Linked DNA regions of Tamandua tetradactyla. The protein of the gene in region 3 interacts with the protein of the main gene of each other region in a pairwise test. Links are inferred from orthologs where the notes say so. Each region holds a gene or a part of one and is shown on either strand. Other genes may lie near its edges. The genes, in order: EHD1, EHD3 and RBSN.

Region 1 (7,553 bases), about 25 Mb from region 3:
TCCTTGCCGAGTGAAAGGAGAGACCTCATGCTTGGAATTTCCAGCATAGCAGCCAAACTTTCCACAAGATCCTATCGCTCCCCCCAGTTAACTGAGCCAACCACTTCCCAACAGGCACAGTAATTCTAAAACACAAGGAGCCATCCGAGGAAGGTCTGGGCTTAGAGTGCAGGCCTCTTGTGGAGCCTCAGCCCAAGGGGCTTCACTTAAGCCTGGCCCTGACACAAAAAATGCCTACATCGGGCAAAAGAACCTGCCTATCTTCTCTGTGCACAGAGGGAGTCTGGTCCCTGGGCTTGGCTCTGGGCGGGCTGGACAGTGTCTGGAAAGGAATGTGAGCATACGGGGCGGGGACCTGGAAGGCAGGATTCAAGGGTTCTTTTCTAGGCTCTTCCCTGGATGTCTGAGTCAAAAGGCATGTGGAGTCACTCCTTGAATGCGGAGTGGGGGAGAGGGGAGGATCTGTTAAGTCCTTTGGTATGTTCCATGGGGACGACGGGTGAGCCCTTTAAAAGCCTGGCTGCTTCACCAGTCAGAAAGGAGGCCGGAACATTTCATTCATAGCATCATCAGGGTTAGGTTAGAGAACCTCCCAGGCTACAGAGGTACGTGGAGCTGAATCCCATTCCAGGCCACCCAATGCCATTGCCCTGTTTCCTGAAGCGCCCTGAAGGCAGTGCAGCCCCTTCTAGAACTGCCTCTGGGAGAAGTGTGTGTTCATGCCCCATCTGTCTGCTGCCTCAGCGGGTCCCCTAAGGCGGCTGGACAACAAGCCACCCACCCCAGGGGGAGCAGAGCAGAAGCACAGGACACCACCAGCAAAGGGAAAGACCCCAAGTTTCATCGTATTTTTTCCCCAAAACACCTAAGAAACAGGCCCCTGAAGGAAGCCAAAGGGAGAGGGAGTATTTGAATGAACTAGGTGCGTGAGCTCCGGGGTGTAGGAGTAGAGGTAAGGGTGGGGTGGGCAGGGGCCTGAGACCAAGAAAAAGAGGACCGGAATCTCTCCTTTTCCTAACGCCCCCCCCCCCCCGGTTCGGAGGGAAGTGGGGCTGGGGGTGGGAGTTAAACTGATGACCTAGAAAATTCCGGGGGCCCCAGAAGCCAGGAGAGCCGGCGGCGCCCACTCCCAGAACCCCGTGGCGGGTTTTCTGTGGGAAGCGGCAGGGGGAAGCGGTCGCTGAGGGTCCCGCCGGGGCCTCGGAGACAAAGCGTGGCGGGGGGCGGGGGCTGCGGGCTGCTCGGGGCCCCGGCCGCCCCTACTGGCCCCCCCTCCCCCGGCCCCGGGGCGAAGGGTACCGGGTACCTGTTGAGGAAGGCATTGCCGAAGGCGTTGAGCTTGCGGAAGGGGCGCCGCGGGTCGACGACGAGCGCGTTGCCCGGCACCACGCCCTCGGTGGGGCCGTGCATGACCGCGATGAAGGAGTCGGTCGTGGGCTCGGGCCCGATGCGCATCCCCGGGAAGTCCTGCTCGATCAGGTGCCGGATGAAGGTGGTCTTGCCCGTGCTGTACTGGCCCACGAGGAGCACCATGGGCTTGTTGTCGAAGTCCGCGTCCTCCAGCGCGGGCGAGTGGAACTCATGGAAGCGGTAGTGCTCCTCCAGGGGCAGCAGCTTCTGCGCGTACAGCTGCCGCAGCCCCTCGGCCACCGTCTGGAAGAGCTCCGGCTCCTTCTTGCGCCGGGCATCCTTGCTGACCCAGCTGAACATGCTGCCGGAGCCCGGGCTGGCGGCTGCGGAGCAGACCGGCCGGCTGAGAGTAGGGGCGAGGGCGCCGAGCCGAGGCGGGGCCGGACCGGCGGCGGCGGCGGCGGCGGCAACGGGGCCGAGGGGGCGGGGAGGGACCCGCACTGCGCAGGCGCACGACAGAGCCGGCGGAGGCGTCCACTGCGGAGTGAAGCGCGCGCGCCTCGCCCAGCCCCCTTTATAAGGCTGGGCCCGGCGCTCCGGGGAGCGCGCCGCTAAGGGGCGGGGCGGCCGGTGGGGTCGGGGGCAGGGGGAGGAGGTGGAGCCCGCCCCGTCCCCGCCCACGAGCCCCGCGCCACGTTCTCCCCTCCCCTGCCTCCCATTGGTCGAACCCAATCTCGCGAGACGCGCTTACCCCGCTCCCCTCCCCTGGCCGCTGCGCCGGCTACCTTGGCAACCGCACCTGTTGGGTCGCGCCCGGGTGTGGTGGCTCGCGTAGTTGCTGCGGTTGGGAAGGCGAGACGCGGGTGAAGGGCACAAAGAAGTGGCAAGGCCTGCCCTCCTTCCGGGACTCATCAGGCCCTGCATCCCGCCGCCGACCCCTCGCTATACCTCCTCAGCTGCCTGCCTACGCTCCCCGCACCCCGGCGGTTCCCCGCCTGAACCGTCCTCCTTCCACCCGCTCAGAGTCTCGTGAAGCCTCTGAGGACCCTGGGGCACGCGCCTCCCTTCCTGCACTGCCCTTCCAGCTTCCTCTCAGCCCCTCATCTTTGATCTTTTGGGGGAGAGGGAGAGACAGAAAAGGGGTGATAGAGGAAGCTGGAAAAGCAGGATATCAGAGTCCCGGGGTGAAAGGGGAAGCGTATTGGGGAAGAAGGACGATGGGGAAAGGCAGACCACAGCTGCCAGGAGGGCTCGGGATTGGGAGACGGACACAGGAATGGGGGACGTATATGACAGCTACTTAGTGGGGGGAGAATATCTCGCTGAAGAGGCCACAGGGGGGAGAATAAAGAGAATAAAGAGGAAGTCGAGGCTCTCTGGGTGCTTGAGTTTTGAGGAAGTGAAATCGGAAATTCCCTGTGTGGGGCAGAGGGGGAAATGTGGGGCAACAATGAAATCTTGTGGGAACTTAGGGGAATTAAAAGTCCCAAATACTTCCACTTTCTTCTCAGGGTCACATCAGTTACCACCTTTTACTCTGACCTGCCTGTGGCAGTGTTGGCCCCTTCCTTACCAGTTCCTGGCTGTTCCATTAGGTCTGTTCCCCTGCCATCACCCCTGGCCACACATAGTCCCCTTTGGCTGTCCAGGCTGGTGAGAATCTTCAGTGGGTGATGTCAGTGCTTTGGGGACTGTGATTGTTATGTAACCAGTATGTGCGTGAAGCTCCCTAGGACACCAAAGCATGTGATTGCGGGAGGGAGTGGGGTCTCCTGACAAATCTAAAATTCAGCTGGGAACTCAAAGGCCTCCAAATCATTTCTCTGGCTTCTAGAAGATATAGAAGGCTCTGTTGCTGGGTGCCTGTGTCAGGGAAGAAAGCAGGCTGGGCAAGAGACTAAGAGGTCAAAGACAAGGACAAAGACTCTGGCATCTGGGAAGAGAATGTGAATCTGGAAACAAGCAGTATATTAGGAGCGCTGACATCAAGTGGGGAGCTGGAGAGGGGGTGATGGGAGGTTTGGTCACCCACTCCTTACACTTGTAGGACCAGGTGCTGCTGGAAGGAAAGAGGCCTCAGGTACTTCCTGCCTGACCCTCCTTCATCCTTCCTCTTGCTTCTTCAGCTGAGTCTCTCAGCGTCTGTATGGCCATGCACCCCAACTTGCTTCTCCTTCCCTTCACTGGGAAAAACACAAAAAGAAAAAAAGACCCTTGATGAAAAGAATGTAATGAAATTGCTTTTCCTTCTCTTCACTGGGTTGGAAGGCTGCTGCAGCGTTCTCCCAGTGGGTGATCAATACCTTGAGAAAGGATGGAGTCTCCTGAGGAAAGTGGGTATTCAAGGAGGAAGAGCCCTGGGGGCCCCAGCATTTAAAAGGCAGATGAGAGAATGAGTGCCCAGGGGAGACTGGGGGGAAATGCTGGAGGGTTGACAGGAGAACTCTGTGACAGAGCAGACCAGTGAAAGAACAGAACTTGTCCATTGGAGCTGGCATTGTGAAAACCAAAAAATAAAGCTAGTGACAGGTTTTGGGGAGAGCCAATGGAGGGAAGACAAGGGGTGGGAAAGTGGAGACAGTAAGCACTGAGAAGCAAGAGTTGCTGGGGGGTGGGGGTGGGGCAGCAGAGGGGCTGCAGGTGAAAGGCTGGTGTTGTGACTGGGGTAGCGAGGGTGTCCAAGATTTCTTGGCCAAGGAGAAGGAACTCAAAGAAAGAGAGATGGAAGAGCCAAGAGTGAAGCAAGGATCCAGAGACACTCAGTCTGGACCTGGAGGGACAGAGGGACAGGGACATGGCATTGGGAAGTGGGACAAAGTGTGTCCCCACAGAGTCCTAGGTCTCTCCATGGTGTAGAAGGCAGGACTGGCAACGGAAAGGGGATTGGGCCCCTGATAACCACACGAGGACTTTCCCAGGTGACTGTACCCCCTAACGCCCTCTCCCCCTTTCCCAGCCCACGGAATAGGAAAGGGAGGTTTGCTTGCCCCTCCCTGGCTCCAGGCCTCTTCAGGTCTTTGCATTTATGGGTACGGCCCTCTTTGAATAAGCGGAGCTGTACCTCTTTCTCTGTTCTCCCCTCTCTGAATCTGCTTCTTTAGAAGCTGATCCATCCCGCAGACAGACTGCCTGTCCAGTTGCAGCTGCATTTCGCAGAGCCCCACGCAGCTCCCTGGATGCGGCCTCTCGGAGGCCCTGCAGCACCCCCACCCTCAGCAGGAACTCCACCCAGCTCCATCCCCCTCACTCTCTATTTCACCCTTGGACTGTGGCCACCGCCTAGGACAAGCACCCCCACCCCCACCCCCAGCACGCTGCATTTAATCATCCTGTACGTGTGCAATTTCTCAAACATGCAAAACATATTTTAGGATAAATTCCTGAGTAAAGCAGTTGTAATTTTGGTAGATATTGACAAAACTTCCCTCCTGAGAAGTTTGACCAGTTTGCAGTCAAAGCGCAGAGAGCCTTCCAAACCCAAGTCCCCTGCCCCCTCCCCTCCAGCTGCCCCTTTGACCTCATTTCCTCTGGGACTGCCTCCCCTGCTCCAGCCCCAAGGCCCTCCGATCCAGAATATTCCAGCCTCAGGACCTTGCACTTGGTGTTCCCTTGCCTTGACTGTTCTTCTCTCAGATATTTGCAAAGCCCCTCCCTTATTTCATCCCTTCCCTTTTGGCCCTTGAATTTCCTGTCCATAAAATAGGGATAAAAATACCTATTGCATAGGGTGAAATGGAATGGCTTATGCGATAAATAATATTAGCCCTGGTGCCTTCTTCTCCCCTTCCCTAATCATAGAGAAAAGGATGAGTAATTCCAGCCTGGCTCAGGGGGCCCCTGCCCTGCTACTTTTATTTGGGATTTCATTACATTCTTTTCATCAAGGATCTTTTTTTTCTTTTCGTGTTTTTTTTTTTGTGTGTGTGTGTGTGTGTGTGTGTGTTCTCAAAAGAGGATATTGGGGCTCATAGACAGGGCCTGTCACCCAGGGGCCACATGCCAGCTGGTGGCAGGGGCCTTGGGCGGGCCCAGTCCAGACTTCCTGGGCCAGCTCTGAAAGCCAAAAGGCTCGCCTTGTACATGGCGCTAGGAGGGGCCCGCCCCGGAGATGCAGTTTCTGAGCTGGTCCAGAGAGGGGCCGGGGGGCCAGGGAGCCTCAATGGGGTGGTTGTTCAGGGGCCTGAATGGGCTGGTCCCCAACAGCGCTCACGGCGACGCTCCGTGGTTTGTCACAGCTCCCCAGAGCCTCGGGTGCTGGGAAAACCCGGCCCCATAATTAATGGAGAACAACAAAATGCTCTGTGTGTGATTTATAAATGGAACCTGGGCCCTGGCTAGGATGTCAGGGCCACTTGATGTGCCCCAAATTGCTCTGAGGACTGGAGGGAAGGCACCCCTACCTCCCTGGGGTAGGGGTGGGGGAACCTGAATAGCCAGGAATCAGTTCCCCCGATTTCACAGAGCTGGCACCCAGGTCCCGGACCACTTCCTTCTGGTTTAATGTCCCAGATTGCGAAACATCCTAATTTGTTTTCCCTTTGGCTCTTTGAGGAGGGCAGTTTTTGAAGATTTGTAAGATGCCAATGATGCATTTTGGTTTTGGTTTCTCCACCCGTCTTTGCCTGGAACTAGGGCAAAAGATTGAGGAAACATGCAGATATTTTCCTTTTATCTGAGAAGTGATGCCCAACCCCACTTCCAGATTGACAGCCGCGACACAGGGGCAGCGTGGCCTCAGTCGGGCTCTTATTGCCTGAGGTCCACCCAGCCCCACGATGGCCTGGTCTAGAGAAGTATCTAAGGGCCCATAAAAACAACTAAAAAAAAAAAAAAATCAGAGCATTTTCCCTCAAATATGGCAGAGAAGTGGGGCTGGGAAAAATAAAAAAAAAAACCATGGGTTTGTCCCTGGGACCTTTCTGAGGAAGTTTGCTTATCAGCAAGGCTTTTCTCCCAGTCATGAAGGCTACATCTGGCCAACAAACCAGTCTTGCCAAAACAAGGTAAAGAGCTGGGACGCCTGTTACTCTGCTCTCTGGGTTTCAGCAGGGCACGGGGCTGTGGCCCCCACCCAGCCCTTCTCTGAGGGTCTACTCGCCTGGTCTTCCCGGGAGAAGGGATGCAACAGCAGGCTCAGCCCCTCGGGGCCAGGGCCCTGGGGAAAATTGTTGGGGTTCCGGGTGGGGGCGGGGGGCCGCCCCCAGCAGGCAGCAGGCAGCTGGGACCCAGCCTGGCTTGCAGGTGGACAGGATGTCAGGGCAGCTTGGGAACTTAGCTGCTTTGAAACCCCAATGAGAAATAGGCCCAGGGTGGCTGCGTGGGGTTGGCCAAGAAGCTGCGCCTTTTGCCTCCTAACTCAGTGCTCCTTTCCATACTCTAGCCATTTAAGTACGGCAGGGTCGGGTTGGTGGAAACTCTGAGGAAGAAAGTTTTCAGCACCTCCTCCCACAGGTATGGGCTGTGTGAATTTGGCATCACCAGCCCTTCTGCCCTCTCCACGTCTTGCTGCTGCTCCTGCAGCCCAGGGTGGGGGTGTATGTGTGTGGGGGGGTCCCACCTTCACATTCACCAGGACACTGTGGACATAATTCCCAAGACCAAGAGGCCTCTGAATGCTCAATTCAACTGCTTACACCAAGGGAGGCTACCCCCTGCCACAGCTTCCAGCCCCCTGTGGCCTCTGGCCCCATCTTGCAGGGGCTGCTGAGGCAGGAGTTGCAGCTGAGCTCAGGCCAGTGTTTTCCCTAAACTCACCAGTGACCCCAGTGCCATTCCGGCCTGCCTCGGCACCAAACTTTTGCTGTGGACAAATGGCATGTGGGGATGCCATGGGAAGCGGCTTCTTATTTGGCCCATGAAAGTGTCCTGCCCTCTGCAGTGACACCAGCAGGGGCTGCTCTACAGGCTCTGGGGTCCCTCTTACTCTCTGCATGGAGTGAAGTAGTGGGTGCAACCCCGATGGCAGCCGGGGAGGATGAATGAGGCATGCAAATGCTGCCACCTGAGTGACCACGACCTTAGCCCCGCTGTGTGAGAGCAGGTCACTGTCCTGTCTCGTGTCCCATCCAGGCATTTCTCGGGGGGTGGGGGGGTGTCCGTGGGGGGTCTCATGTGCTCCAGATTGAGCTGGCTCATGTTCTGCTCCAGCTGCCTGGGCCTCACCATGGTACCTCCTGTTCCCCCAGGGCTGGGGGCTGCCCTGA
Region 2 (7,299 bases), on a different chromosome or scaffold from region 3:
AGAGGCAAAGCTACACCCTCTCCCCAGCCCCTAGGCTCTCCAGAGATGCTGAAATACCCAGCATGAGGCCCAGGCTGTGGGGGTGCAGGGTGGGGGTGTGAGACCATGCAATCCCAGGGAAATGCTGAGTCATAAACACAGTCCCCCGAGGAAGTGGGGAGAGCTGGTGGACGGAGCATCCCAGGTGCTCGGACCTACCTCACCGTGGAGGCTGGGGCAGGTGGGCCCTGGCTGTCCTTGGGCCCCATTTAGTGCCCCAGCCCCCCACCTCAGTTCTGCCACGGTGCAGCCAGGTCTCCCCTGCAGCCCTGGGAAGGGTCATGCCTTCCTCATTCCTGGGACAGGCAACTCTCAGCTGTGCTACACACAGATCAGAGAAGCCAGAGAGAGTGGGCAGCAAGCAGTGAGCAGGGGGCCAGAGGGCCCACGGGAGGAGGGATTCAAGGCTGCATGCCAGAGAGAGAAATGATGAAGGAAAGAGAAGCAGCCGAGGCAAGGAGGCAAGGCAGTCAGGCCAGACGGACACACAGCTACTGTACTCCCAACAGGCAGTCTGTGTTGGGGAGAGCAGCCGCCAGGCCAATTTATTGTTTATTTTATTACTCTGAGTTGCTGGGCCTTAAGCCAGGGAAGTTATTTCAGGCCGAGATCACAGCACATTAATTAGTTATTAGAAGAATGTCCTCTTCTGTGTGTTCTTTCTGAGACAAGAAATAGAGCCTGTGGCAAGCACATATAACTATAAGAGGATGGACACTCAGGCGGCAAAAGGCCAAGGATGGGGGAGAGAAAGAGGAAGGCTTTGTTTCTGAGAGCAGAGCCCCTGACAGGTTCAGGCCAGAGAGAGTTGAGAATCAATGAGCTCAACTCAAGAAGCAATGGGAGAGAAGGTAGAGCCATTCGGCAGCTGTGGCTACACCAGGGGAGCCCCGCCCACCCCATGGGAGGGGTTTTGTACCGACTTATCCTTTTGGAAAACAACTGGGAAATAAGACTCAACTGAAAACAACAGCAGCAACTAAAACTCTGCGTAACCCAGTAATTCTACTTCTGGGATCTCTGAGAAAACAATCCAATATATTGGAAAAACATTATGCACAGAGACATTGAGAGAGATTCTACAATAGCAAAAACTCAGAGACAACATAAGACGTCCAAAAGAAGTAGATTGGTTAAACGAATGATCACATAGACACTCAGTGAAATATTAGGCTGCTGTTAAAAATAACACTTACAAAGATTTTTAAATTACAGAGCAGGGGGGACATGCTATAAGTAAAAGAAAAACTCAGAATACAAAATTATATATATGGTATGATCTCAGCTGTACTGCAAAACAGCTAAAATACTGGAAAGATAAATACAAATATTTAAAATGGTTTCCCCTTCATCATGGAATTATGGTGCTTTTTTCTTTATATTTATTTTCTGTATTTCTCTATTAAAAAATAAAACAGCTGTTCATTGGATTTAATCAAAAGAGATAAAATACGTGATCTGGATCTGGAGGGCTTCCCCTGTGCCACAGCCCCTTATAGGGGCTCCGGGGGCAGCAGTTTCTGACATTTAGTTACTGACATGAGCAGGGAGGGAATTGTCTCCTGCTTGGATGATAAGACAGAGGAGGGCTCTGCCTCTCCAGGCCTTCCTGTCTCCCTCAGATAAGGAATAATCGGTGGCAGCTCGACTCTACCACTTCCTTAGACTTGGTTAACACCCAGAGATGACTCAGGCAAGCAGGAGAGACCGTCTCAGATAAAAGAACCTCAAACTCACCTGCGGCTCTGGGACCCCGCCTCCAGGGACTCAACTTGTCCCCATCTTTCCTCCCGTCCTGCAGTCACCTGCTGGGAACCTCTAGAAGGTTAGAGCCTAAGCTAGACCCTCGGATCATAAAGCACAACTGTGGCTCTGCAAGTGCCGTGTTCCACGAAGGAGAAGCTCCAGAAGGGGGGCTAAGAGCCATAACCAAGGCACGTTCAGAGAGCGCGGGAAGGTTGCACAAGGGCAGGAGCTATCTGGAAGTGACCTGCACTATCCATGGAACATAAAACTGGGCAGGTAGAGGACAGAGGAAACCTTGTACAAGGGGGCCATGAATGGCTTTTGGCAGAAATGGGTGTTTAATAAAATAAGAGACCTGAATTAGATCAGGGGTCTGACCTTAAGGTCCAGAGATGGTCCTGGAACCCCCCACAAACTGTACGCAAATATGGGATGCAGGTGCAGTTTTCTAAAGACAGGTTCCCAGCTTTCGTAGGATTTTCAAGGGAGGGCCTGATCAAGAGTGGAGAACCAGTGGATTCATCTCTAAGGGCCCCATACAGCTCTAACAATCCAAGATCTTCAAAAGCCACCACAGCTATCCCCTCCAGGGTCTCCCCCTGGCCTGAACTTCTTTGGAAATCACTGAACCTCTGGAAGCTGCCAAGCCCAAGACTGTCCACGGCACAGGAACAATCTCCATCTGATGCTCTGTTCAGACATGACACGCTAGCTGGCTGCACATCCTGCTCCCAAAAGGCTCGTGTTAGGAGAAAATGAGTACCTGAACAGACCCTTTCCTTATGGATCCTCCTCACCCGAATTTTGTCTGCACAAGCACAGTGCTTTGCAGGTTGTAGACGCTCAACTATTAATGAATGGAAACAGAAGTCCTTCCCTGAAGGATTCCGCAGGAGACTGGGCCCCCTTTGACTTCCGTGGGCCATCGGACCCCATCCCCACACTGTCGCAGCCTCCCCCTCGACACAAAGGGCCACAGGCTCGCCAGGACAGTCTGGCAATGGCTGGAAACGAGGCCGAGCTCACCTGATGAAGGTGGTCTTTCCCGTGGAGTACTGGCCCACCAGCAGGACCATGGGCTTGTTGTCGAAATCGGCATCCTCCAGGGCAGGCGAGTGGAACTCGTGGAAGCGGTAATGCTCCTCCAGAGGCAGCAGCTTGGTCTTGTAGAGTTTCTTGAGCCCCTCGCTCACCGTCTGGAAGACCTCCGGTTCCTTCTTCTGGCGGTCGTCGGAGTTCAGCCAGCTGAACATCGCGGCCGCCGCTCCAGCCCGCGCGCAGCGCCCGGGTCCCGGCGCGCCTCGGCCCCTCGCGGGAAGGTGCCCCCCGCAGAGCCGCACCCACGCCTCACCGGAGCGCCGGGCTCAGCCGCACCATGGCTCGGGCGCGCGCCTCGGGGCTCCCTGGGGGAGCAGCGCCGCGCCGGGAACGCGCTCTTCTCTTGCTCCTGGGACGGAGCCCAGCCCCGACTTCTTCCAGCTCCCAAAGCCCAGGAGAGGAAAAAATAATCCGGCTGTGCAGAGGCGGGCAGCAATCTTGGAAATTAAAGTCGAACCTGCAATTAAGCTACCCGATGACTATGGCCCGGGTTTCTCCCTCTTGGTTAAAAGGGATGCTCAGTGGCCGAGAGAGGCCCCGCCCAGCGCGCGGACACTCAGCGGCCGCCGCCAGCAGCCCGCAGCCCCGGGCGCTCGTTTAAATGCCAGCCGCGCAGGAAGCCGGCTCGCGGAGGAAGTCCCCGAGTGCTGGCAAGGCAGGGCCAGCCCAACGGTCCTTTCCAGGAGAAGCTGCGCAGGGCGCCGCCATGTTTGTGGGCAAGAGCCGCGCTCGGGACCCGCGGCCGCCGCCTGGGCGAGGCTGCTGAGCCGGGTGGAGAGGCTGTGCTGCTCCGTTGATTGGGGAACAGCGCCCCCCCAGGACCGGCTGGGGAGACAGACTGACCTCATCACACTGCCTGCTTTTAAGTAGCCTTTCCTTTCGCCGCCGAGTGCAGGCGCGTAGAAAAACAGGGACTGTGGCAATCGGGAATGCTTTTTGGGCGGGCATGGAAAAAAAAGGCCAACATCAGGTTAGATTAACCAAAAACTGCCACTGATCAGACTTCTAGGCGGAGGGTAAAATCAAAGCTGTTCCTTATCCTTCCACTAAAATAAAACAGAACAAGGAACACCCACAGTGTTGAGCCATTTGTGGGGCAGACACAATTCCGGTCACTGCGGATGCAAACTGAGTTACAAAGACCGTTCCCCCCAGGAGCTCTGGTCAGGGCAGGCTTTAAAGAGGAGAGATGAGCAGAGGGCCTTGGGAGAACCAGGGAAGATTTTTTTTTCTCTCAAATAAATTTGTCTGGATAATTCCAGCTTCACAGAAAGCACGTCTGTGAGCTGGATCTTAAGTGATGAATTGATTGAGAAGAGAAGACATTCCAGGAGAGTAAAGGGCGTTGGCAAAGGATGAGAAACACGGAAGAACTTGGTGTGTTCCGAGCAGGAAAAACAGTTTTTGGGCAAGGATGGCACTGGTGGAAGGGAGCCAGATGCGAAAGGCTTTGCTTAGGAGACAGGGACCATCGAGGAGCTGAGGACCCAGGGAACAGTTTATTACTAGTAACCCTTACCCTTAGCCTAAGGCTTGCCATATGCAAGGTCCTGGCTAAGTTCTCAGCCAGCATTACTTCAATTAACCTTCACAGCCACTCTGTGAGGTAAATAATATTATCTCTAGTGCCATACCAAGGAGGGTAAAGGTGGGAGAAGCTGGCCTGGTGTTCTAGTTTGCTAGCTGCCAGAATACAACACACCAGAGACGGATTGGCTTTTAATAAAAGGGGATTTATTTTGTTGGTTCTTCAGAGGAAAGGCAGCTGACTTTCCACTGAGGTTCTTTCTTACATGGGAGGCACAGGATGGTCTCTGCTGGTCTTCTCTCCAGGCCCCTGGGTTTCAACAACTTTCCCCGGGGCCACTTCTTTCTGCATCTCCAAAGGCCTGGGCTGAGCTGCGAGTGCTGAGATGAGGAATGCCGAGCTGCTTAGCTGTGCTACGTTGTGATCTCTCATTTGAGCACCAGCCAATTCAGTCAAACGTCACTACGTTGTGATCTCTCATTTGAGCACCAGCCAATTCAGTCAAACGTCACGCATTGCAGCAGACACGCCTCCTAGCCGACTGCAGATGTAATTAGCAACAGATGAGGCTCACGTACCATTGGCTTGTGTCCGCAGCAACAAGACTAGGTATGCTCACCTGGCCAAGTTGAAAACCGAATCTAACTAACACACCTGGGTACAAGCAAAAGTGGTGCCTCATCTGTAACAAATTTAAAAGCAATGATAAAATCAACTAAAAGTTAATCTGCTTTTTATTAGTACCATTCCAAACACTGTCAGCGATAAAATAGTCTTCCCTGCGAATCCGATGTCTCCCACTACACTCCCTCCCCCAGGGAGGAAACTGAAACATAGGCTAATAAAGCAGGAGAGGAATAGGATAAAATCAGTTTTGTATTTTAGAATAATGCTAGTGGCAGTCCAGAGGAGGGACTGGGGGAGCGAAAAGGCCAGAGGACAAGAGTCCAGTTAGGAAATTATGAAAAAAAAAAACAAAACCTGGGAGACAGGGCAATAGTGATGGAGAAGAGGTCAGATTCGAGAGATATATTTTTTAAGGCTTAGAATGACGGGTCTTGGTAAGCACTAAAAGAGGAGAAATGAGGGGGAGGTAGACTTAGGGCTGATCCAGGATTTTCTTCTGTAGGGTCCAAGACTACTGGAGATGCTCTTCCATCAGTTCAAGAAATTGGAAAGAGAACAATTTGGTAGGTCACAACGAGGTGTCCAGTCTCAGAGAGGATGCGTGTGAAGTGTCTGTGGGAGCTCTGAGTAGAGGGGGCCAGTGAGGGCTGCGGGGATTTTGTTGGGGGTGCTGAAAGGAATCTCTGTAATGACAGCCCAGGTCTCTCGACTCCTTCTTTGAACCCCGATGCTGAATGCCCCAGGCTGAGCTCTCTGTGCCTGTGGTCGGGAAACCACAGTCATCCAAATGAACACGCCACCCAGTGTTCACATTAACACCAGCATGTGTGTCCAAGAGGTGATGTTCAAAGTACTTAACAACTGCGGTGGCATGGCAATCCAGCAGTACACATACACGCAGGCCTTCACAGTGGAGCGGGGCCCAAGACCCCGGGTCATGCCTGGCGTTAAGCCAGTAGCATCTGAAGCATGGAGTGGTCTGAGCTTGACCAGGGGCAGGGGCCAGGATGGCCTGGGTGGCGGGGGGGGGGAGCTAGGGAGCCCCCCATTATGGAAGTATTTTGATATTTTGTTAACCCCTAGAGCTGTGTTGTGTACCAGCTGAATGGCAGTCCTGAATACCTTAAACTTCACTGAATGTCCATTGATGTATCTACTCTGGGTCTTAGCCTTGCCTGTAGGAAATATGTCTTCTTTAAGAAGGAAATAAGTGATAATGTAGCAATGAACAGCTAGAAAAAAAGAATTTCAAAATGATACCATTTATAGAAAAAAAAAAAAGAACCCCGGGACAAATCTAACAAGAGACTTGTAAGACCTTTATGTGAAAAAATGATAAAACTTGATGGAAAGGCATTTAAAATGCTCTAAATCAAAGAAGAGACACACTATGTTTAAGCATGGAAAGATCCCCTCTCATGAAGAAGTGAATTTGATCCAACATAATCAATAGATTCAATAATTGATGGATATAAATTGCAATAAAATCTTAACAGGATTTTCCATGGAAATTGATATATATTGAAAAAAAAAAAGGTAAAAAAAATAGGTAAAATATTCCAGAAAAAGAAGGAGGAGGAGGAGGAGAGGGAGGAAGAGGAGAGACAAGAATAGCAGAAGCAGAAGTAGGAACAATGAGGCCAAGGGAATTAGATTGGAGATGCCACTGTAAAGTTGTGAGGTTTTTCCACAGAGGTAGAGAAATAGAACAAAACAGTGGAAGAGTCAGCATGTGTGGCAACCTGCTTTATTACACAAGTTGACCAGTGAAAGAATGTATCAATTGTTTTGATAAAATGAGCTGGGACAATTGTTTAGCTATAAGAAGAAAAAGTAAAGTTAAAAGTGGTTTCCTACCTTATCCCATAAACAAAAAGAATTCCAGATGGATTAAGAGGTAAATGTGCAAAAGGCAAAAGCTTACAACTTTAGAAGAAGATATTTGCATGAGGTCAAGAAGGATTCCATAACAAAGCACAGAAGCACCAAGAACAAATAAGAAGATTCATGTATTTGGCAATGGCAAAATTAAGTTCTTTTGTTCAACTAAAAATACCAACGAGTGCAAATATATTTGCAATGCATAAAATTGACAAAAGGGCATCAAAAATATATAATTAATTACTGTACATCAATAAGAAAGACACATTGCAATAAGAAAAATATGGCAAAAGACAAAAATTCCTTTTACAGAAGAGTCTACATGAATGCCCCTAAAACATAAGAAAAGACATTGAACCTCATTAGTAAGTAAGAAAATG
Region 3 (8,081 bases):
CAAATATTTAATTACAGAATACATGTGACTCACATGTCTGGAGGCCAAAGTCCACTTAGGAATACATAAGCATTCCTTTCTCTCCCCCCCAACAACGAATTGTGAAAACAGCATCCAAACCTGTTTAAGCATATCACCTTCAGAAATGCTTCCTGAGAAGCAGAGTAGCTAACTTACTAGGTAAGTGAGTTCCAGAAAAGCTGCATCTAATTTAGGGATTAGAATCTGAAGTCCAGGAAAATGACAAACACAATGCACAGTTAAAAATTCTTTCTTCAACTCTCCAGGACCTGAACCCCAGGAAGCTCAAAAGCCATTCCTTAGTTTTTTTCTTTGCTTTTCAAGTCTGACCTTCTTTCTTCGGACTATAGAGAACAAAGTCTAGTTGAGGAAGAAAGGCTGGTGGGAAGACCTGAATCTATGACAGGTAAATGGTGCATAAGTTACCTCCATATTAATAGTAAAGGAAAGGAATTCCACTCTAAAACCCTCTAGCCTGGTGGTTAAATAATTCAAAGAATCTAGCAAGAGAGAGCAGAATGTGGTACGATTTGAACCTAAATTCAAAGCCAGGTTCTGCCTCACTGTGTGACTTCTAGGCTAATTACCTAATTCCGGCTCATAATCATATAACCATTGTGAGATTTAAATTAACACAAGGGAAGAGTTTTGATCAATGCCTGGCATGTGGTAAACACTAGATGTATGTTCGGTAACTACTATTATTATTATCATATTCTGGTGGCAACATGGACGCTGATGAAAACCATCCCATGAGTTAAAGCTCCAGGTGACAGAATGGGACAAGCAAGATCCTTGCCTCTTACTTTTAATTTGCCCTTTGACATCACGGTCTTCCCCTGAGTGCTCTTCCTCATAATGTGACTGAAGCTGATAGAAAGACTGCAGGTCCTTCAGGCACAAAGGGCAGAGGAAGCCTTCCCGCACTTCCCCTGGGTCTTCCAAAGAAGCCATGGCAGTGCTCCTCTCAGTCCTGGCAAGGCAGTGGCCTCATGCGATTCCTCTGTGAGGCACCAGGGTTCCTGCAGCATTAGCTAACCAATGTCACATTGACAGTGAGAAAGTGGCATCATAACCCTGGATGAGGTTTCCTCTCTGGAGTAGGAAGAGCCCTAAGAAAGGAAAGAAGGGGAAAAGCCAATTCAGGCAAATTAGCAGCAATTAAGAATTCTTTGTTCTTTTCACAATTCACATAAAGTTTATTCAGTACAAGTCTGAGAAAACAAACTGTTGCCTCAAATCATCGGACCAAGACACTAAGATATGAGAGTATCACTGGACCATGGCAGCTAAATGACATGGGAAACAGATTCTCAAAGAAAGGAAAACTTAACTTCAAAAGCAAACACAGGGTGCAACGGTAGTTCAGTGGTAGAATTCTCACCAGCCATGCAGAGACCTGGGTTCGATTCCCGGCCTGTGCACGCCCCACCAGCAAAAAAAAATTCAACAAATGGTGCTGCAAGAATGGAATAGTCACATGGAAAAAGAATGAAATGTGACCACCACCATATAGCATACAAAAAAAAAAGCAAACACTTAATATGTTAAAGTTTACAACTAAAAAAGTTGTTTTTTTTTTTAAAAAGCAAACGCAATACTAAGGCAATACATTCAATATCCCAAATGATCCAACTTTATCATTTGTATGCCACTGTGGCCACTGGGGAAATTTCAGAAGTATTCATCATCAAGCACTAGCTTTTATTTGACTCCTTACCTTTCTCATTTCTTCAACCACATTTACTGAGCTCTTAGTACTTGCAAGGCAACTGTGCCAGTAAAGCAAAGATGAAAAAGGCACAATGCCTGCCCTAAACAAACAAACAAAAAACAAACCAACCTCAGTCTAAGGAGGAGCATTAGAAACCTATTGGTCAAAAAGAAAAATCCATTTTGTATTTTATATTTATAAAGCACTTTCTCTCCAATAGGCTTACTACATTTTATAAGCCAGTAAGTGGCAGTTGAGCAGCAAGCCTAATGTTCTCACAGCTTCAAAAATAAAAGGATTTGGTGCTCAAACAATTCAGAACGTAATAAGTTACATTTTCGGGCTTATCAAGCCATGGCAAAGTAACTTCCTAAGTCACCAAAGAAAGATTCCCAGCCATAGGGAGAATCCAGATCAAACCGTTCCTTAACAGCAGAAACTTCTCAGGAGCCACGGGGTCCCAGACCACAGCACAGAATGATAGAAAGAAGGGGACTATGTGGCCCTCGGCTTTGGATGGACTTGTTCAGAGAACCATTAGGGAGGGCTGCCTGGTTCTCAAAGCTGTAAGGTGGCAGTGACCTAGAAAATAAATAGTGACCCCAGGCTGGTTTTTTATTCTTTTAGCTAAGAAGTCCAATGAGTATACACACGCATTCCCAGCCCCTTTTCCATTTGGTCACTTAACCAGTAACCCAAGGTTTGATTAGTCCCCTCCCCAGTTGGTGGTTCATCAAACATTCTGACTCTGACAGCCCCCTTCCCTCCCATGCACTAACCCCATAACCACCACAAGCCAATCACAAACCACACACTCACGTTTCGCATCCCAGCTCAAAACTCACTTCCCCGAAGCAGCACCCCCCCGGAGCGGTGGCGTCCCTCCCCCCACATTTGGCAACCCCCTGCACTTCTCCTTCTCAACGCGAGAACCAAATACAAGGTGTCGGCAGACAACCATCTAAATCTCAGCCGCATAACCAAACACAACTGCTGGCGCCCAGCATAACCTCAAGCACGTACTGGCGAAAGGCACCACACGAACGCCCCCACCTCGCACCTCACACGTCACACCCACCGCAACCAAACACATCCCACAGTCACACGGCCCGCCCATCTCGGTTCCCGAAGGGTACCGCGTCCCCTAACGGCAGGTTCGGCCCGGTCCTCGGTACCCGGCTAGACTCCCGCGGACGCGCTAACCTGTTCAGTCCTCGGGCCCAGACTCTGGACCTTCAATCCTTCACACCGCCGCGACCGCGGCAGCCATCGCCATCGGCTGCTCGGCGCTCCTCAGGTGCGCCTGCGGCGGTCTCGAAACCGGAAGATAGGCTGACAGTCGCCCGTCGAGCGCCGAGTCTTCGAGGGCGCGAAGTGGGCGGGGACGGATTCGAATAGCTCGGGGCGGGCCAGCGGCTTTTGCGCAGGCGCCGTAGGAAAGAGGAGGGTGAGGGACGCCGTAATTTTGCGGCATTTTGACATTCCGCATACTTTGATACGGCCGCAGCGCCTATCGTACAGATGAGGAAATCGAGGCCTCAAGTTCTTTGTCCCTTGTTCAGAATGCCCTGTGAGCCACCCGAGGGTTTTTTAACGCCTCCTAGTACACCCTGAACTGCAGTCTGAATTAATCCCTGAGAGATAAGAGAAGGAATCTACAGGAGGCTTAAAGGATGTGGAAATATTCGGAAGAGAAACACACATGCGGGTGAGGGCTTGGAATGGGAAGGCGTAATTCGGGAGGTGTATATCATGGGGAAACCTGTAGCATTTTCAGAACACAGAACGGATCTGTCAGTACCAACTCCGTTCCCTGCACTGGGCTGGGTACCACCCGGCATTAGAGACACAACCTCATCCCAGTCCCGTGGGTGTTCCTGTAGGACGCTGGGCGTAGCAATGGCCTGGGCTCCAGAAGCAGAAGCTGCAGAACATGGTGGGCAGTCTGGGCTTAGATTCCGGATGTTACTTGACCTCTTTGACCCGAACACCTTAAGTACAAAGGGGATATCAGTCTTCGCCTCAAAGAGTTGTTTTAGATTTAAATACTGTGACTTTAGGGGCTCCGTATTGCTGGCTTCACCTACCTTGCTTTCCCTTTCTCCAAAGAGTCCTCCCCAGCAAATCTGTGGACAGGAGCACTGGTTCTGTGCTTAGACTGGGCCTATGTCACCTACGGTTTGAAGACATGGGCTCTCAGTTTGGACAGTATGGAGTTTTTGGAAGGGGATCGCCACTAAAAGAGCAATGAGCCAGGAGTCAGGTTCTAGTCCTGGCTGTCCTTTACTCTGTGACTTTGAACAGATGGCGTCTCCTCTCTGGATCTCAGTTTCCCCATATGCACAGACAAATGCTTCCAAAGACTTACAAACTCTTTTTGTCCCCCAACCTGATTTTTTTTTAATTCTGTTTTTTTAACTTTACAAGATCAGCAGGGGTAGGCAATGACTATCTTTCAAGTATTGGCATAAAGAAGGGACTTGCAAACCTATCAAAAGAAAAGCAACAAGCCCCTCCTTCACCAGCCTCTGTCTTGGGGTGGGAGAGCCAGGACTTGAAGAGAGAAAATATCATCTTAAATGCCTGGGGCCAAACAAATGCCAGGAGGAGCCACAATTACAAGGAAGATTGTGGTTGAGGTCAGGGAAGGAAGCTTTTTTTTTTCTCGTAGGCAGGCACCAGGAATAGAACCCCAGTCTTCAACATGGCAGGCGAGAAGTCTGCCTGCTGAGCCCCCATGGCCCACCCAGGAGGAAACTTTTATTAAACAGTTATGAGTTATTATTTACAAAACTCTGTCACAGTCACTGTTTCATTTGCTCCAAACAGCAGTAGCAATGTGACCAGCAGCTTGTGAATTAATTCTGGAAATCATCACAGATTGGCCCCTGCTTTTCTATTAATAGTTTTAAGAATAATGATAGCAAAGCCTTTCCTGTTTGATTTACGGCCTATAAAAGCACTTTCATATTCAATGTTAGTTAAGCCTTCCAACATCTCTGTTGTTTCCATTATAAAAATAATAATGATGACTAATATTTACTAAACAATTAGCATGTACTAGGCACTGTCCTATGTTCTTTACATGTCTTAACTCATTTAATTTTCCCACAACCCTGTGAGGTACAAACTAATACTGTTTCCATCTCATAGATGAGAAATCTGACACAGGAAAATTAAAATAATGATAGCTACAAAACTAAAAAACAAAAACTAAGCAACGAAATTAATGACCAAAGGACTAGCAGGCACTTGTCTGGAGAATTGGCAAAGGGTGTGCCAGGCTGGGTGGTATCTAGGAGACACAGCTGTCAGCTGCCCAAGTCTGTCAAGAAGGAAGCAGGAAAAGGAGGAAAGGAAAGAAGGAGGAATGAAAGAGGAAAGCCCATAGGGAAGGAGGGAGGGAAAGAATCGAATCACAAGAAAGAGTTAAGAGGTAGGACAGCCTTGTAGTTAAAAGCACAAAACTCTGGAAACAGTCACCCTAGGTTTGAATCCCTGGGTTGAATCTGCCACTTGTTTGATCCCAGACAGGTCATTAAATTCTCTCAGTTTCAATTTACTCATCTGTAAAATGAGATAAGAGTGCTTACCTCCTGCATCGGAGAATTAAATAAGTTAATATTTGAAAAGTGCTAGAACAGTCTCTGGCACGTAGGAAGGACTGACAATATAAATGTTTGTTGCAGGTGTGCATGCATCATGCTCATATCCAGTTCCAGCCAGGTCATTCCCTCTCACTCTGGGTCTCTCTTTGCAGCTGAGAACATGGGCAGGGTAGCTGCCCAAGTCAGTGCTGTGTGTATGTCTGGGTAACATTTGTCGGTCACCCACTGCAGAAGCAGTTTTCAGAAAATTTGTAACTGATCAAGAGATTTCAGATAATTGGAGTATAGACAGTGCCACAATATCCAATTATGAGATAGGAAACCCTCCTGATTATCAAGGGCAAAATTGCATGAAGAAGCATGACATTCCTATGGGTCACGTTGCCTGGCAGGTTACCAAAGAAGACTTTGCACATTTGATTATATATTGTGTATGGATGAAAGCAATCTGAGAGACTTGAATAGAGAAGGTAGTGAAGTTAAAAACTGCAAAGTAAAAATTGAACTACTTGGGAGCTATGATCCCCCAAACCAACTCATTTTTGAAGATCCCTATTATAGGAATGACTGACTTTGAGGCTGTGTACCAGTAGTGTGTTGGGTGCTCAAAGCATTTTTGGAGAAGTCACAGTAAAAGCTGCATCCATTCATTACTGAAGGCCAATCATGATGAACATCTTCACAGTGATGTTCTAGGTTTTTCAACTGTGCAAAAAGTGTAAAGTTTTATAGCTCAAGTCCACAACTTTTTTTAACTGACTTATTGTTTATCCTAAAAAAAATTGTAAAAAAAAATTATAGATGGAAATCAGTGTTGTGTTTGCAGAAGAATTAATAAAAATCTCTGATTCAGACAGCTTATGGGGTACATTAAATTTTCTTAAACAAATTGGATCTCTTCTCTTGCCCCAATTACAAAAATAGTGGAACAAACAAAATAGAACTATAAAACATAACGTTTTGTGTGTTTTGTAACGATCATTTCTTTTCAGTATTTAACCTTAAGGTACTATCCAGTGATGACTAGATTTCTAATATGTTTAATTATGATCTTAATAAATAATTAAACATCACTTTCAGGCCCAAGTCAATATCTGAGCCCATTGAGACTTCTAAATAATCTATCTCTTTAATAAGCCAACATGTATAACTTGATGGACAAATGTCTTCTCTTCACCTATACTACCTCTTTTTTTTTGATCCCAGGGCTTTTTGTTGAATTACATGCTCCCCTAGTCATAGGAGTTCACAATCTTGATTACAAGTATATTGATTCACACATACCCAGAGTCACATTTGTATGTTAAAAGGATAGGAAAGAGAATGATTTATGGTATAAATCTTTAGCGTTAGTCTTAATTTTTCTTTATCAAGTTTATTTCATGAGGCACTCAACTTTTTGCTCCCATTTGGACCACTTTGCCTCTGAAAATTTAATTATATCCAGAGAGGACACTGTATCCTGTTTAATCTTATGCTCACTTTGACAAATGTGTATGATTTATATGAACATATAACCCAAGTGTCAAATATGATATATTGGCTTATATGGGAAAAAATCATTTAAAAAACTGGAAAAAGAATTCTATTAAGTTGAAGTCATGTTCTTTTATCAGTGTTTCATTTATAGTTAACTACTATGTACTTTGAGATAACTATAATTTCAGATTCATTTGGATATATATCAGAAAAGGTTGTTTTCAAAATAAACTGGTGAGTATAAAAATACAAAAAAAAATTTTTGTTGCATAAAGAAAAAAGAAGGGAGGTGTCACACAAATGCCTTAGCGGTTGTGACAGCTGAGTCAGACAATACCATAGGAGGTGCAAGGATCCAGGCTGGTGTCATGGAAATATTTTTGAGTCATGGTCCTGCCATATGGGAAGTCTTTGAAGAGAACTCAGAATAGAATTAAATAGTAACTAGATTCATTGAATCCAAAATCTGTGGCAGGGGAGTGGGGGACTTAACAAACCTAAACTATCAGAAATATGGATTGCCTTGTGGTATGTGGGCTGCAAGGTCACCCAATTTACAGGTTTGGAACTGGCCTCTCCTTTGGCACAGCAGGACAATCGCCAGCCTAAAGGGGCCTTTGACAAATGCAAGAGGGGGTCCCTTCTTCCACCAGCCACAGCCCTGTGACAAGATTCAAGCCTTGCACTTAGCAAGTAGAGTACTGTTTCAGTTTTCTAAAGCTGCTGGGAAGCAATATACCAGAAATGGGTTGGATTTTACCGAGGGGAATTTTTAGGTTACAGATTTACAGGTCTAAGGTCATGAAAATGTCTGAATTTAAGGCGTCAACAAGATGATACCTGGACCCTGAAGAAAGGCCAGCCTCTGGAACACCTATGTCAGCTGGGATGTGGCTGGCATCTGCTGGTCCTTGCTCCTGGTTCGTTGCTTTCAACTTCTGATTCCAGGAGCCTTTCTTAGCTTCTCCGGTGCAAACTCTGCATTTCATCTCTTAGCTTAGCATCTCCTGGGATGTTTTCCGTCTCCAAGTATCTGTGCTTTCTCCAAAAGGTCTCCCTCTTAAGGGACTTCTGTAAATGGATTCAGACCTATCCTGAATGGGCTGGGTCACATCTAACAACCTAATCAAAGGGTCTCACCCAACAATAGATCTGCCCCCACAAGATTGGATGAAAAGAACTTAGCTTTTCTGGGGTACATAACAGTTTCAAACCCAGCACGGGCATGGAATGGATTTTTATTCCCATTCACCCCTCAA

What was found.
Region 1: the proteins of RBSN (region 3) and EHD1 interact in binary tests that used the Homo sapiens proteins (3 or more experiments, as listed by UniProt). The link is inferred for Tamandua tetradactyla from reciprocal best matches to the Homo sapiens genes RBSN and EHD1.
Region 2: the proteins of RBSN (region 3) and EHD3 interact in binary tests that used the Homo sapiens proteins (3 or more experiments, as listed by UniProt). The link is inferred for Tamandua tetradactyla from reciprocal best matches to the Homo sapiens genes RBSN and EHD3.

Annotation. Positions count from the first base shown.
Region 1 is NC_135335.1:9,689,229-9,696,781, reverse strand, and holds the start of EHD1 (EH domain-containing protein 1), read right to left. Parts: upstream 3,052-7,553; 5' UTR 2,943-3,051; coding exon 2,924-2,942; exon of another isoform or gene 2,189-2,923; coding exon 2,102-2,188; exon of another isoform or gene 2,019-2,101; intron 1,734-2,018; coding exon 1,307-1,733; intron 1-1,306. UniProt on the Homo sapiens protein: ATP- and membrane-binding protein that controls membrane reorganization/tubulation upon ATP hydrolysis. In vitro causes vesiculation of endocytic membranes. Acts in early endocytic membrane fusion and membrane trafficking of recycling endosomes.
Region 2 is NC_135343.1:76,595,113-76,602,411, reverse strand, and holds the start of EHD3 (EH domain-containing protein 3), read right to left. Parts: upstream 3,086-7,299; 5' UTR 3,039-3,085; coding exon 2,812-3,038; intron 1-2,811. UniProt on the Homo sapiens protein: ATP- and membrane-binding protein that controls membrane reorganization/tubulation upon ATP hydrolysis. In vitro causes tubulation of endocytic membranes. Binding to phosphatidic acid induces its membrane tubulation activity.
Region 3 is NC_135335.1:35,137,838-35,145,918, forward strand, and holds the start of RBSN (rabenosyn-5), read right to left. Parts: upstream 3,094-8,081; 5' UTR 2,939-3,093; intron 2,790-2,938; exon of another isoform or gene 2,759-2,789; intron 1,836-2,758; 5' UTR 1,742-1,835; intron 1,134-1,741; 5' UTR 976-1,133; coding exon 828-975; intron 1-827. UniProt on the Homo sapiens protein: Rab4/Rab5 effector protein acting in early endocytic membrane fusion and membrane trafficking of recycling endosomes. Required for endosome fusion either homotypically or with clathrin coated vesicles.